Alligator mississippiensis: one gene and its partners. The protein of the gene in region 3 interacts with the protein of the main gene of each other region in a pairwise test. Links are inferred from orthologs where the notes say so. Each region holds a gene or a part of one and is shown on either strand. Other genes may lie near its edges.

Region 1 (3,743 bases), on a different chromosome or scaffold from region 3:
CGGCCGTCAGGGCTGAGGCAGGGGCTGGGCCGGGCGCTGGTCCTGCCTCGGACCCCGCAGCGCCGACACGTCAGGATGCAGCCCCCCCCCCCCAAACGCCCCCACCCCCAGTGCCCTTGGCAGCCCCCGGGGGGGCCGGTGGAGGGGCGGGGGGGGGCCGCACCATCTCCCACTCGGCGCAGATGTAGGGCCCCGGGCGCAGGATCACCAGCAGCTCCAGCTCCGCTGTCAGGTCCAGGAAGGCCTCCAGGTCCCGGTCCCCGGAGAAGTCGTAGAGGCCGGGCAGCGCCTCGTGGTAGTTCCAGGGCACGTAGCTGGGGGAAGCGGGGCGCGGGCGGGGGTCAGCGCCTGGCGTGGCCCCGGCCCGGCCCCCGCAGACCCCGGGCACTTACACCTGCACGGCGCTGAGGCCGCTCATGTACATCTTGAGGAGCCGGTCGCGCCAGGCGGGCCGCGGCACGCGGGCGTAGTGCAGGCTGCCCGCCACGTAGCGGAAGGGCGCCCCATCCCTGCGGAAGCAGTCGCCCGCGTAGTCCACCTCGAAGGAGCGGGCCGCCTGCGGGCACAGCGGACGCTGGGCAGGGGGCTGGGGGCCGGGGCCCGCCCTGCCCCATCCCAGCCCCCCCAGCACTCACCCCCAGCGCCGGGGGCGCGTCGAGGAGCAGCGGCAGAAGCAGGAGCGGGAGCAGGGCCATGGTGCGGGCGGCAGGTCACATGCCAGCTGCTCCTCCGCCGCGGCCCCTGCTCCCAGCGGCCCCTGCCTGCGAGGGAGGGCGCGGCTCAGCCACGACCCACCCACCGCCCACTGGGGGCCGCACGCACGGGGCCCGCGGGCCGCACCCCCGCCACGCCTTGGGGGCTCCACCTGCCTGGGAGGACCCGCCCCGCCCCGCCCCGCCCCGCACCCCCTCCACTGGGGATACCGCAGCCACGCCCCCAAGCTCCGCCCCCTCAGCCCCTCCAGGGGACCCCGCAGCCCCGCCCTCTCAAACCCTCCACTGGGGGCCCCCCCTCCCCTCCCCCACGGCCCCGCCCCTCCCAAGCCCCGCCCCCCTCAGCCCCTCCACTGGGGACCCCACAGCCCTGCCTCCCCGCCCCCTCCCCAACCCCGCCCCTCCCTTACAGCTCCGCCCTCTCCTCCCTCCCCAAGCCCCGCCCCCTCCCCTCCCCTCCCCTCCCCTCCCGCCCCTCGCGGCGGTTGCTAAGGCGCGGGCGCGGCGCTGTGACGCAGGTCGCGGGGGGATGACGTGAGCGCGGGTCGTGCTTCCGGGTGCGGCGCTGCGGAGCCGGGGCCGGTGACCCCTGACCCCAGGCCCGGGCCCGCCATGGGGCAGGCGCTGTGCCCGTGCCCGCGCGGCACCGTCAGCCTGGCGGGGGCGCGCTACGTGGTGCTGCAGCGCCTGGGCGAGGGGTGAGCGCGGGGGTCACGCGGGGCGGGGGGGGCGCGGGGGGCAGGCCCGCGGCGGCGCCCCGTGACACGCGGCGGGGGGGGTGTGCCCCGCAGGGGGTCGAGCTACGTGGAGCTGGTGGAGGGGCTGCGGGACGGGCGGGCGCACGCGCTGAAGCGCATCGTGTGCCACGACGCGGAGGCGAGCGGGGCGGCGCTGCGCGAGGTGGAGATGCACCGGCTGCTCGCCCACCCCCACGTGCTGCGCCTCGAGGCCCACGGCCTGGTGGACAAGGGCGCCACGCGCGAGGCCTGGCTGCTGCTGCCCTTCTTCGAGGTGAGGCGGGCGGCCCGGGGCCGGGCCGGGCCGGGGCGCGGGGCCTGGCCGCCGGGTAACGAGGGCCCGCGTCTCCCCGGCAGCGCGGGACGCTGTGGAGCGAGGTGGAGGCGCTGCGGGACAAAGGCGCCTTCATGGGCGAGGAGCGGATCGTGCTGGTGCTGCGCGGGATCTGCCGCGGGCTGGAGGCCATCCACGCCAAGGGCTACGCCCACCGGTGAGCGCCACGCCACGCCCTGCCACGCCCCGGCCCCGCCCACAGGGCCGCCCGTGACGCCCGCCCGCCTGCCTCTCCCGCCGCAGGGACCTCAAACCCACCAACGTGCTGCTGGGGGACGACGACCAGCCCGTGCTGATGGACCTGGGCTCCGTGAACCAGGCCCGCATCGAGGTCCGCAGCTCCCGCGAGGCCATGGCTGTGCAGGTGCCGGAGGGGGGCTCCTGGCAGCCGGGGGGAGGGCACCGGGGCCGCAGCCGTGCCGGACGGTGCCGCGGAGCCAGGCCCCACCCCCACCGCCCGGCTCAGCCTGTCCTCTGCCCCCAGGACTGGGCGGCGCAGCACTGCACCATCTCGTACCGGGCGCCCGAGCTCTTCACCGTGGACAGTCAGTGCGTCATCGACGAGCGGACGGACGTCTGGGTAAGGGGCCCACCCCCGGCTGGGGGGCGGGTCGAGGGCGCCGGGGCCGAGGCCGGGGCTGACCGGGCCGCCCTGCAGTCCCTAGGCTGCGTGCTCTACTGCATGATGTTCGGGGAGGGCCCCTACGACATGGTCTTCCAGAAGGGAGACAGCGTGGCCCTGGCCGTCCAGAACCCCGTGGCGGTGCCGCCGCACGCGAGGTGAGGAGCCGGTGCGGCCCCTGGGGGGGGAGCTGTAGCGGGGCTGGTCGCTGCCCTGCTGCTCACCCGCGCTCTGCCCGGCAGGTACTCGCCCGCCCTGGAGCAGCTGCTGCGCTCCATGATGGCGGTGAACCCCCAGGAGCGGCCGTACGTCGCCCACATCCTGGACCAGCTGGAGGGGCTGCAGCCAGCACCGCCGGGCCAGGACACCACCCGCATCTGAGCCCTGCAGCCCTGCCTCCCCCCCCCCCGGGGTGGGTTTCGAAACACGGTGTTAGCACAGCCATGCCCCCTGCTCCCATTGGGCGAGCACAGCTGCTCGCCGTGGAGGCCGCAGGCTCACAGCCTCCCCTGGGAGGGCCTGGCTGCCCCGAGCTTGCTTGTGCGGGGCTGGGGGCAGTGCCCACGGCGCAGCCTCAAGGGGCCCTTGCCCAGCTATAGTGGTCTCATGCACGGAGCGGGGTGGGAGCGAGGCAGCGATGGGCTCGGTGTCACCGGTGCCGGCTGGGCAGAGCCCAACCTCACTGGGCACCAAGCGGTCACATTCCTGCTGGCGCAGGCGCATGGCCCAGCCCGCCGGATGCTGCCTGGAGCTTGTGTCTATTCACGTGTCCATCCAGTAAAGCTTCTTTACAGAAAAAAGCATTCCTGGTCCGTGGGGCTGGGGGGAGCACGAAGCCAGGGGAGATGGGAGCACAAGTTAACACTGCCCCAGCTAGGGTGGGGCCGAGGTCTGGCCAGTGGTTAAATGCAAACGCAGGGCCCAGGCCCAGCTGCGCCAGGAGCTGCTCAGCGCCTGCCCCACAGAGGGAGGGGCCTCTGGCCGCTCCAAGTGCAGGCCGGGACCTGGCACTGGCCCTGCTCAGCCAAGCACAGGCAGCAGCTCCGGGCACGGAGCCAAGGGCCCCGGGGCAGGGCCCTGCCTGCCACACACTGGAGCTGAAAGCCCTGCTGCCTTCCCTCTCCCAGGCAGAGCTGTGGGGCTGTGCTCCACCCCGCAGCCGTGGCAGGCCCAGGGAGAAGAGCAGGCCCAGGGTGGCATCCGCGCGAGGCAGGCAGGGTCCCGTCTCCCCTCGCCGCCGGTCCAGTGTTACACAGCTGGCTACGCCCAGCCCCAGGGCAAGGGAGGCGGGCGTCCTGCCTCCGAGGCCTCAGGCCTACTGCCCTCCTCTCCACGTT
Region 2 (3,743 bases), on a different chromosome or scaffold from region 3:
GTCGCAGCACGTGCCCACCGCAGCCTTCCTCGGCTGGGGCAACGTGGCCCGCGGGGCAAGATCGGGAGCGGTTGGGAAGCGAGAGTAGAGATGGCCCCGGAGCACTGTGTGCAGGGAGAGGCTTTCTTCCCTTCCAGCGCAGGGCTGCAGCCACTTTACAGCAGACCCATCTGGAGTGAATTACTGCCACGGTCTAGATCTGGCCATTTGCAAGCCGCTCTGCTCTGCTCTGCCGCAGCGTTTCCCCTCTTTTCTTACATACCCAGCGTTTTAAGGCAGTGGCAGCGTGCTCCACATAGAGCATTATAGGCAATAAAACAGCTGAGCAAAAGTCTGGGAAGTGTGCAAGAAGCCTGTGTGCTCCAGCATGCAGCGGGGCCGTGCCGCTGGCACGCGAGAAAGGGCTGTCAGCCCGAGGGCGAGAGGACCGGTGTGCCCAGAACAGAGGCGTCTCCCCCAGCAGCAAGGGGCTGCATTAGCTCCCCACAACCTGCCCCCCAAATGCTACCGAACCTCACAGGGCTAGTGCCCCTGCTACCCGCACCTCGGGCACCTGTCCTGGGCAGGACAGCCCCCAGCAAGGACTCCAGGGGGTAAAGCCCTGGGAGCTCACACTGCCTCTTCATCTCTCCAACAGCTCTCCTGGCACGGCAGCTTTCTGCCTCTCTCTGGGCCCCGGGCAGATGCAACCACGATGTTTCCGAAGCCCGGGAGCCCCTGCCCTGCAGCCTGATGCCCATTTCCAGCATTGCATCCTCATTCAGCAGCAACCAAGAAGCTCAGGTGAGCTTACGGGGCTGCAGGCAAAGGCGCCCGGGAAGCGTGCACGGAGCAGATGACAGTGGCACGCCGCAGGACAGGATTTTAACTAGCTGCGACCCAGCCAGCCAGCACGGTGGGCAGAGGGGCTGACCTCCCAGACGCGGCGAACACCTTGTGTGTGCACAGATAAGCACCCGGTGCAACCGTGCATGAGATGAAAAGAGTTTCCAAGACCGTCTGTGCAACACGGCGAGCGATGGGAGCCCAGAGTCCCGCTGTGCCCCCCACCAAGCCAAACCCAAAACGAGTTTTGGGTAAAGAGACTGCCCCAGGCTGCCCGAGCCCTACTGAGCACTCCCTTGCCCAAAGCAGAAAGTTACCTTGCATGGCTGGCTGCGGGGGGATCGGCAAGGAAAGCAAAGGGAAGCCCGCCTGTCCCGGGGAGGCAGCCGCGCTGGAGTCGGCTGCAGCAGGTGTGCTGGGAGACGGTGCCCCAGTCAATCCCGGCGCACCAGCAAAACACTGAAGTGCTCACCCAGAAACAAAAGCAGTCGCATCATAAACCGGGGGCTGACATCAGCGCAGGAGTAGCGTTTCCGACAGAGGTTCAGGTTTCATCACACGGGGCTGGAGCCTGGGCTCTTGCCACTCAAGGTACTCTGCATGTGCACAGGAGGCACACGTGGCCCTGGCCCCGGCCACGGGGCAGAGAGCGCGTTTCTGGGCACACCGAGAGCCACCCTCCTACTGACCCCAATCCTGCCGAAGCAAACCCCGCTGCGGCTGACGGGACCTGCTTGGGTCGGCAAGCCTGCGTCACGCGGCCAGGCTTGCTCGGACCACGTTGCACGCTCCTCTTTAATAAAGGCCGCAATAATCCCACCTGGCCCGGCACTCTCTGAAGGGACCCTCCGAGCCGTATCTCTTGGTACCACCGTGTTTCCTGAGTCGGCGGCAGCCGCTCATGATACGGGTGGGTGTTTTTGGGGTGGATTTCTATGCAGCGAGTGCTAGCACGGACGGCCACATGCTCGCCCGTCCCTCCAGGACCGAGGCATGGGTAAGGGCAGCTCTCGAAGGAGGAGTGGCTTCTCCAGTAGGAAAGGGACTTCTCCATCCCATCGCCCACCAAAGACCACACACACATATTCTGTGGGTCCGGTTGTGCATCACCTCCCCGACGGTTATGTTGCTTCACGCACACCGAGCCACTCACCCTCGCGGCACCTCCGCGCAGCAGGGCAGTCCGTCATCTCCAGGCTGCCACGGCTCACGCCGGTGACACGAGGCAGCGAGTCTCTCGGTCCCTGTCCGGGGAATACACAGGCAAGGATGCACCGCAGACCCAGCCCTGCCAGAGTCCTCCCTCCCTTGCTCCGCGTCTCCTTGCGAATGCACCCCAGGCCTGCACCCTGAAGGTCCCCAGAGGCACCCCGCTTTGCAAGGAGAAGCGGGGCAAGCAAGGAGGGACACGGGCGTGTAGAATTAGGCTCCTCCGGCCGCAGCGAGACCAGACGTCCCTCCGCCTTGTCCCGCTGCTAGAGCGGGGCAAGCTTCACACCGACGAGGCACGCTGGGAACAGCCGCAGAAGTTAAATTCACACCCTACCTTACTCCAGGTTAACTTTCAAGTGCCGACAAGACCAGAGCATTTCCACCCAGGACACTCCCCTGCTCTTCCCTCTCCCAGAGCGCTGCGTGTGAAAGCCCTGGCGCAGCACAACGGCTTGTGACCCCCTGGGAGGAATTTCTTGGCTCCGGCCCGTCGCAATCAGACCCTCGAGTTACGATGCATTTTGCACTTCATGCAATTTCTTTTGTTTCCTCGGAAGAGCCCCAAAACCAGGCAGGCTCCTCCCCTGCCAAGCAGCAGGCTCCCAGGCGGAGTTAACACATGCATCCTGCCCCCGCCAGAAGGGCAGGGCCCACGCCTGCCGCTGAACCAGAACAGAAACAGCTTTACTTCCAATGCGCCCAGCACCCAGGGGGGAAATCCTCCTCGGGAGCCTGGTCCTACCCCATGGAGGCTGCTTTGAAGCTGCAGGAAGAGGGGAGACCCGTAACCCGGTGCTCCTCCAGGAATAGCTGCCAACTGTTTTTGCAATTTGCATTTTGCATTTTTTTTTTAAACCCTCGGGGAGACCTCAGGAGCCAGGCTCCGCCTGGAAAGGATTTTCATGACCGCAGCTAAAACCCACAGAAAGCAGGGGGCTAGGATGGAAACCGGGGGCTCCGCTCTGAGCAGCTGGGACTGTTTCCCCGGTTAAGTCGATTAGCATTACTCAAGCCCACGCTGGCTCTCAAAGGGGTGCCGAGGAGAGGCTGACCAGTCACTCCTCTCCCCGGACGAGGAGCTGCGAGCGGAGCCGGTTTAGGGGAGCTCTAGCGGCCCGGGCAAACACACCCCAGCCAGCAAAGCCGTGTGTACACGTCAGGGTAAACGGCCGGGCTCTCTCGCGCCCTCACAGCTGCCATATTTTAGGGGCCACATCTGTGCATGGGATGCGCCAGCTCTGACAAACATCCGCAGCAGCTGGAAGGGATTCCCGGGCCCACGAGACTTCAACCCAACAAAAACCGGGATCTTGGGCTCAGTTTACTTGAAAAACACAACCCCAAGAGCTGCTTCTGCCAGCCCTGCAAGGGCGCTAGCGGACAATGCTTCTGCAACCCTCCCGGCCGGAGCTATCGAATGGCGCGGATCTAATTCCTCAAATCCGTACAACGATCCATTAGCCAGAGCCAGCCTTGCGTTTCAGGGGATGCTGTTTCTGTCATTGCTCGCGATGGAAGGGCTAGCTGGCGGATCCTGCAAACCCCTTCCCCTCGCTGAGCTCCCGCGGCAGACCGCGCTGCCGACTTCGAATAGCTCGTGACAAGCAGAAGTTTCTCGTCTCACAACTAGGAGCTCGAGGGTGCGGGGAAGAGCTAGAGCGTGGAAGTCCGGACACTTTCCTCCCTAACCTTTACGCTCCTCATTA
Region 3 (3,743 bases):
AGTTTCAAATTATTCCTATGTGGCGGCTGGCAATTGGCTCGCTAGCCGTATAAAGGGTTGGAGTCGTTTCTGCCCGGGTTGGAGAACTCCGTGCTCGTCTCGGAGCGGAACCTGGTGGTCTGATCACCCGCCAATGACTCCCCGTCGATGACCCCCCCCCCCCCGACACACGCCCGTGTCCTGCATGCTCGAGTTCAGACCCGGTTTAAAGATATCTCATCTTATAAGAGCTCCTCAGTTTGATTGTAACAGAAGTTGGAGTTTAAAGTTAACCTTCTTCCTACGCTGTACATCATGACAGTGTAAGTAAAGCCATCTTTGTTTGAACCAGTACGCGTTTGTGCCTAATTCTACTCCAGCGGTTGCAAGTACCCATCTACGTGCTGGGTTTGAGGCTACAACCCAGCCGGCCCCTTTCCCAGATCCCAAGCTCGGTCACCCACATGGCGTCACGAACAGGATCAGGATTAACAGGATCAGGATCGGAATCGGGATTTGGGGAAGACCCGATGGAGTTAGAGTTAGTTAGAAGCTGTCCCTGGCACAGTGGGAGACACCACGTGTCGAATGCTGTGGAGCTAGGCGCCCACATCGCCTATCACCAGGCGGGCGGAATAGGTGAAAGGTTTGTCAGCGGCTATCTTTCGCTGAAAGGGGAAGAAGAAGACTCGTCTCACTGAGCACGGACAAGATCACGCGGCGTCCGCTTGTGGATCATCATTCATGACGGTGCATCTGCGGGTGTGCGAGAATCGTCCAGAGCTGAATCGTGTCCAAGCACTTGTTTCGTGTGCTTGGGAGAGAGTGGGAAGCCGCAAAGGGGATTTGATTAGCTGTCCCATTATGCGTGCGACTCCATATAAATAGTGTAATATAAGTTAATTAATTGTTCAAAGAATGCTTTCTTTGCAGTTTTTTTTGTTCGAGGTTCAAGATACATGTCAGAGGCGGACCCAGAGAGAGGAAGAGAAGACGCAGAGGTCTGACATGCGACTTTGCCATGACACCTACTGAACTCCTCGTGATTGAACTTTTTGTAACCAATGTACTTACGTGTGTTTGTGTTTGTATTGGTTACTATTTGATTCGATCCGTTGAGGACGAACTTTTTTCGTTGTATGTTTTTGTATATAGCCGGTTACCCCTCGAGAGGAGTGACGAGTTAGACGGCGTGCATGTGCTTCAAATTCCAGCTGTACCGTCGGCAAGGGGGCATGTCAGAACTGATCAGTTGAGTGCCTTGGTACAGTGGAACTTTCTAGCACAAGGCACGGCGAGACAGGGGAATTCTCGGCACGGTGGAGAGCCCTGGCGTGGAAAAGTTCCCGCCACTCATATGCAAATGTGCATACTCTAATTGGCCGGTTTCAAATTATTCCTACGTGGCGGCTGGCAATTGGCTCGCTAGTCGTATAAAGGGTTGGAGTCATTTCCGCCCAGGTTGGAGAACTCCGTGCTCGTCTCAGAGTGGAACCTGGCGGTCTGATCACCCACCGACGACTCCCCATTGACGACCTCCCCCGACATACCCCCGTGTCCTGCATGCTCGAGTTCAGACCCAGGTTAAAGATATCTCGTCTTATAAGAGCTCCTTGGTTTGATTGTAACAGAAGTTGGAGTTTGAAGTTAACCTTCTTCCTATGCTGTACATCGTGACAGTGTAAGTAAAAGCCATCTTTGTTTGAACCAGTATGCGTTTGTGCCTAATTCTACTCCAGCGGTAGCAAGTGCCGGGTTTGTGGCTACAACCCAGCCGGCCCCTTTCCTGGATCCCAAGCTCGGTCACCCACAGCTTTAAAATGCTGGTGAATGAGGCCTCTAGATGGGATGAAGTTCACACATATATTACAGCAATGTTCATGAAATGGTCCACCCTGAGAACCTGAGCAAAAATAGCTTCTTGATAGGTAGGCATTGTGGTGATACCAAAAATTGTGGCTACATTGTGTTATTCAATAACTTTCTGCTTTAGTCCACAATCCTTTGCCTCAACATGGATAGGGCACCATCTGTAGTGACACCAGTGAGAGATACCCACTTTATATTATTTACATAAATGAAGAGAACACTGCATTAAACCCGTTTCCTCTTCTGCTTCAGTCTTTCAAGCCAAAGGACGTTTTTGTGTATTTGAAAGTCTTCTCAACTCCACTAATAGAAAATAAGGATCTGAGAAGTACCTGTAACATTGGTACTCTTACCTGAAGTGACTGAATATGCCACAAAATTGTCAGCAACATCTTGAAGCTGTAGTTTAAGATCATCACCAATGTCTTCAACTCTGCATGACACCATCATTTTAGAGAAGCTGACCTGACTACTAACAGACTCTTTTTCTGGGCAAAATATATCCATATTTTCTGCATAGTCTTTGAAGAACTCACTGTCAGTAAGGAGGTTTATCCCTCTTTGTTATGTACAATGTAGCTGGATAATGAAGAAACGTCACTGCCTTGAACAACCTTTTTAAAAACTGACTGTTGTGCAATAAGGCCTTTCTGCAACAACTCCAGATTTTTCTTTTGAACATCACCATAAAACTAATTGTAAGAACTATGATTTATATCATGATGCTGGTTTATGTTCCTTCATGATTTTTTTCTTCCAAATTAAGCACAACACTAAAGTTGGGTCAGAATGTGCCCAGGGACCGGTACTAGTATGTTGCTTTTCTCCGAGTGCATCTACATGTGTACTTTACTGAGGAGATGACCAATTAGCTCTGCAATAAAGCATCACTGTCTACATGTGCCAGTATTAAGGTACAGTAAATTAATTAATTAACTTGGCTGTAAGATAGTACTATCCTATAGCAGAGCTCTTTGCTGCACAGAAATGCACATGTGGATAGTGACTGGGACTGCAGCAGTTTGAGCCAAGACAGAGCAGCCCTGGGCTAGCAGCAGGCTCTGGGGATCATCTGTACTGGTCCACAGTTTTGGCACTCTTGTGCCCCTCCACTGCCTGATGCCACCACCTGGAGTCTGAGGCTGACCACCCAAGCTGGCTGCTCCAACCTGGCTTAAACTCCTGTGGTCCTGGGCGCAGGTGAAGACTGAGACCAGAAGCAGATGATTCTGGCATGAACTGTGCCATACTTTATTGAACCACAATAATAGCTCATGTAGATGCACCCTATGGGCACATCTCCATGAGCAGGAACATGCATTTCCCTGGGGATGTATGCAGCGCGTGCAGTGTGTGCCACCGTGCAGCACCACATGCCACACATGTGCACTCATCTGGACGCACCCTATGTGTACACATACACATTGTTACAAGGGTGCTCTCTATATACATATACATGAGCAGTTTGTTAACAAACTACAAGCAAATGGTGCTCAAGAATATGCATTTTTCCTGGACTTTAGCCCAATAAAACTTCTTGTTTTGCACTGCAGGGCTAAGGACAGAAGTTACACTAAACCAGTTTAAGTGATCAGAAACTGGTTTAAGCCTGTCAGAACAGAAGCTCAGTGCACGTAGACCAGTATCAAAATGACTGAAACTGGTTTAAGATAAACCTGGTTGAATGTAGTATTGGACTTAACTGATTTGGGTCAAACTGGTTTATGAAACTTCTGTCCCAGACCTCTTGCTGGTTCAAGTTAAATCAGAGGCCACCCAGCATGCTTTTTAGTCCTGGGCTGGTCTGTGCCATCTGCTCCAGAGAGCAGGGCTGGCCCTACCCCTCTGCTCCCTAGCTGGAGCAGTGAGGGCTGGCTGACAAGCGGGGGGGGAGG

The links.
Region 1: the proteins of SAXO1 (region 3) and STK16 interact in binary tests that used the Homo sapiens proteins (3 or more experiments, as listed by UniProt). The two-hybrid records come from large-scale screens. The link is inferred for Alligator mississippiensis from reciprocal best matches to the Homo sapiens genes SAXO1 and STK16.
Region 2: the proteins of SAXO1 (region 3) and FHL3 interact in binary tests that used the Homo sapiens proteins (3 or more experiments, as listed by UniProt). The two-hybrid records come from large-scale screens. The link is inferred for Alligator mississippiensis from reciprocal best matches to the Homo sapiens genes SAXO1 and FHL3.

Annotation. Positions count from the first base shown.
Region 1 is NC_081827.1:254,253,697-254,257,439, forward strand, and holds STK16 (serine/threonine-protein kinase 16), read left to right. Parts: upstream 1-1,196; 5' UTR 1,197-1,325; coding exon 1,326-1,411; intron 1,412-1,504; coding exon 1,505-1,724; intron 1,725-1,807; coding exon 1,808-1,941; intron 1,942-2,027; coding exon 2,028-2,148; intron 2,149-2,268; coding exon 2,269-2,364; intron 2,365-2,442; coding exon of another isoform or gene 2,443-2,564; intron 2,565-2,648; coding exon 2,649-3,005; 3' UTR 3,006-3,206; downstream 3,207-3,743. Other genes in the region: GLB1L (beta-galactosidase-1-like protein), read right to left, coding at 164-314, 393-556, 636-695. UniProt on the Homo sapiens protein: Membrane-associated protein kinase that phosphorylates on serine and threonine residues. In vitro substrates include DRG1, ENO1 and EIF4EBP1. Also autophosphorylates. May be involved in secretory vesicle trafficking or intracellular signaling.
Region 2 is NC_081829.1:1,230,555-1,234,297, forward strand, and holds the start of FHL3 (four and a half LIM domains protein 3), read right to left. Parts: upstream 2,620-3,743; 5' UTR 2,372-2,619; intron 2,070-2,371; 5' UTR 2,016-2,069; coding exon 1,979-2,015; intron 1,915-1,978; exon of another isoform or gene 1,150-1,914; coding exon of another isoform or gene 1,143-1,149; intron 1-1,142. UniProt on the Homo sapiens protein: Recruited by SOX15 to FOXK1 promoters where it acts as a transcriptional coactivator of FOXK1.
Region 3 is NC_081826.1:178,423,728-178,427,470, reverse strand, and holds the start of SAXO1 (stabilizer of axonemal microtubules 1), read right to left. Parts: upstream 2,356-3,743; coding exon 2,202-2,355; intron 1-2,201. UniProt on the Homo sapiens protein: May play a role in the regulation of cilium length. Stabilizes microtubules at low temperature.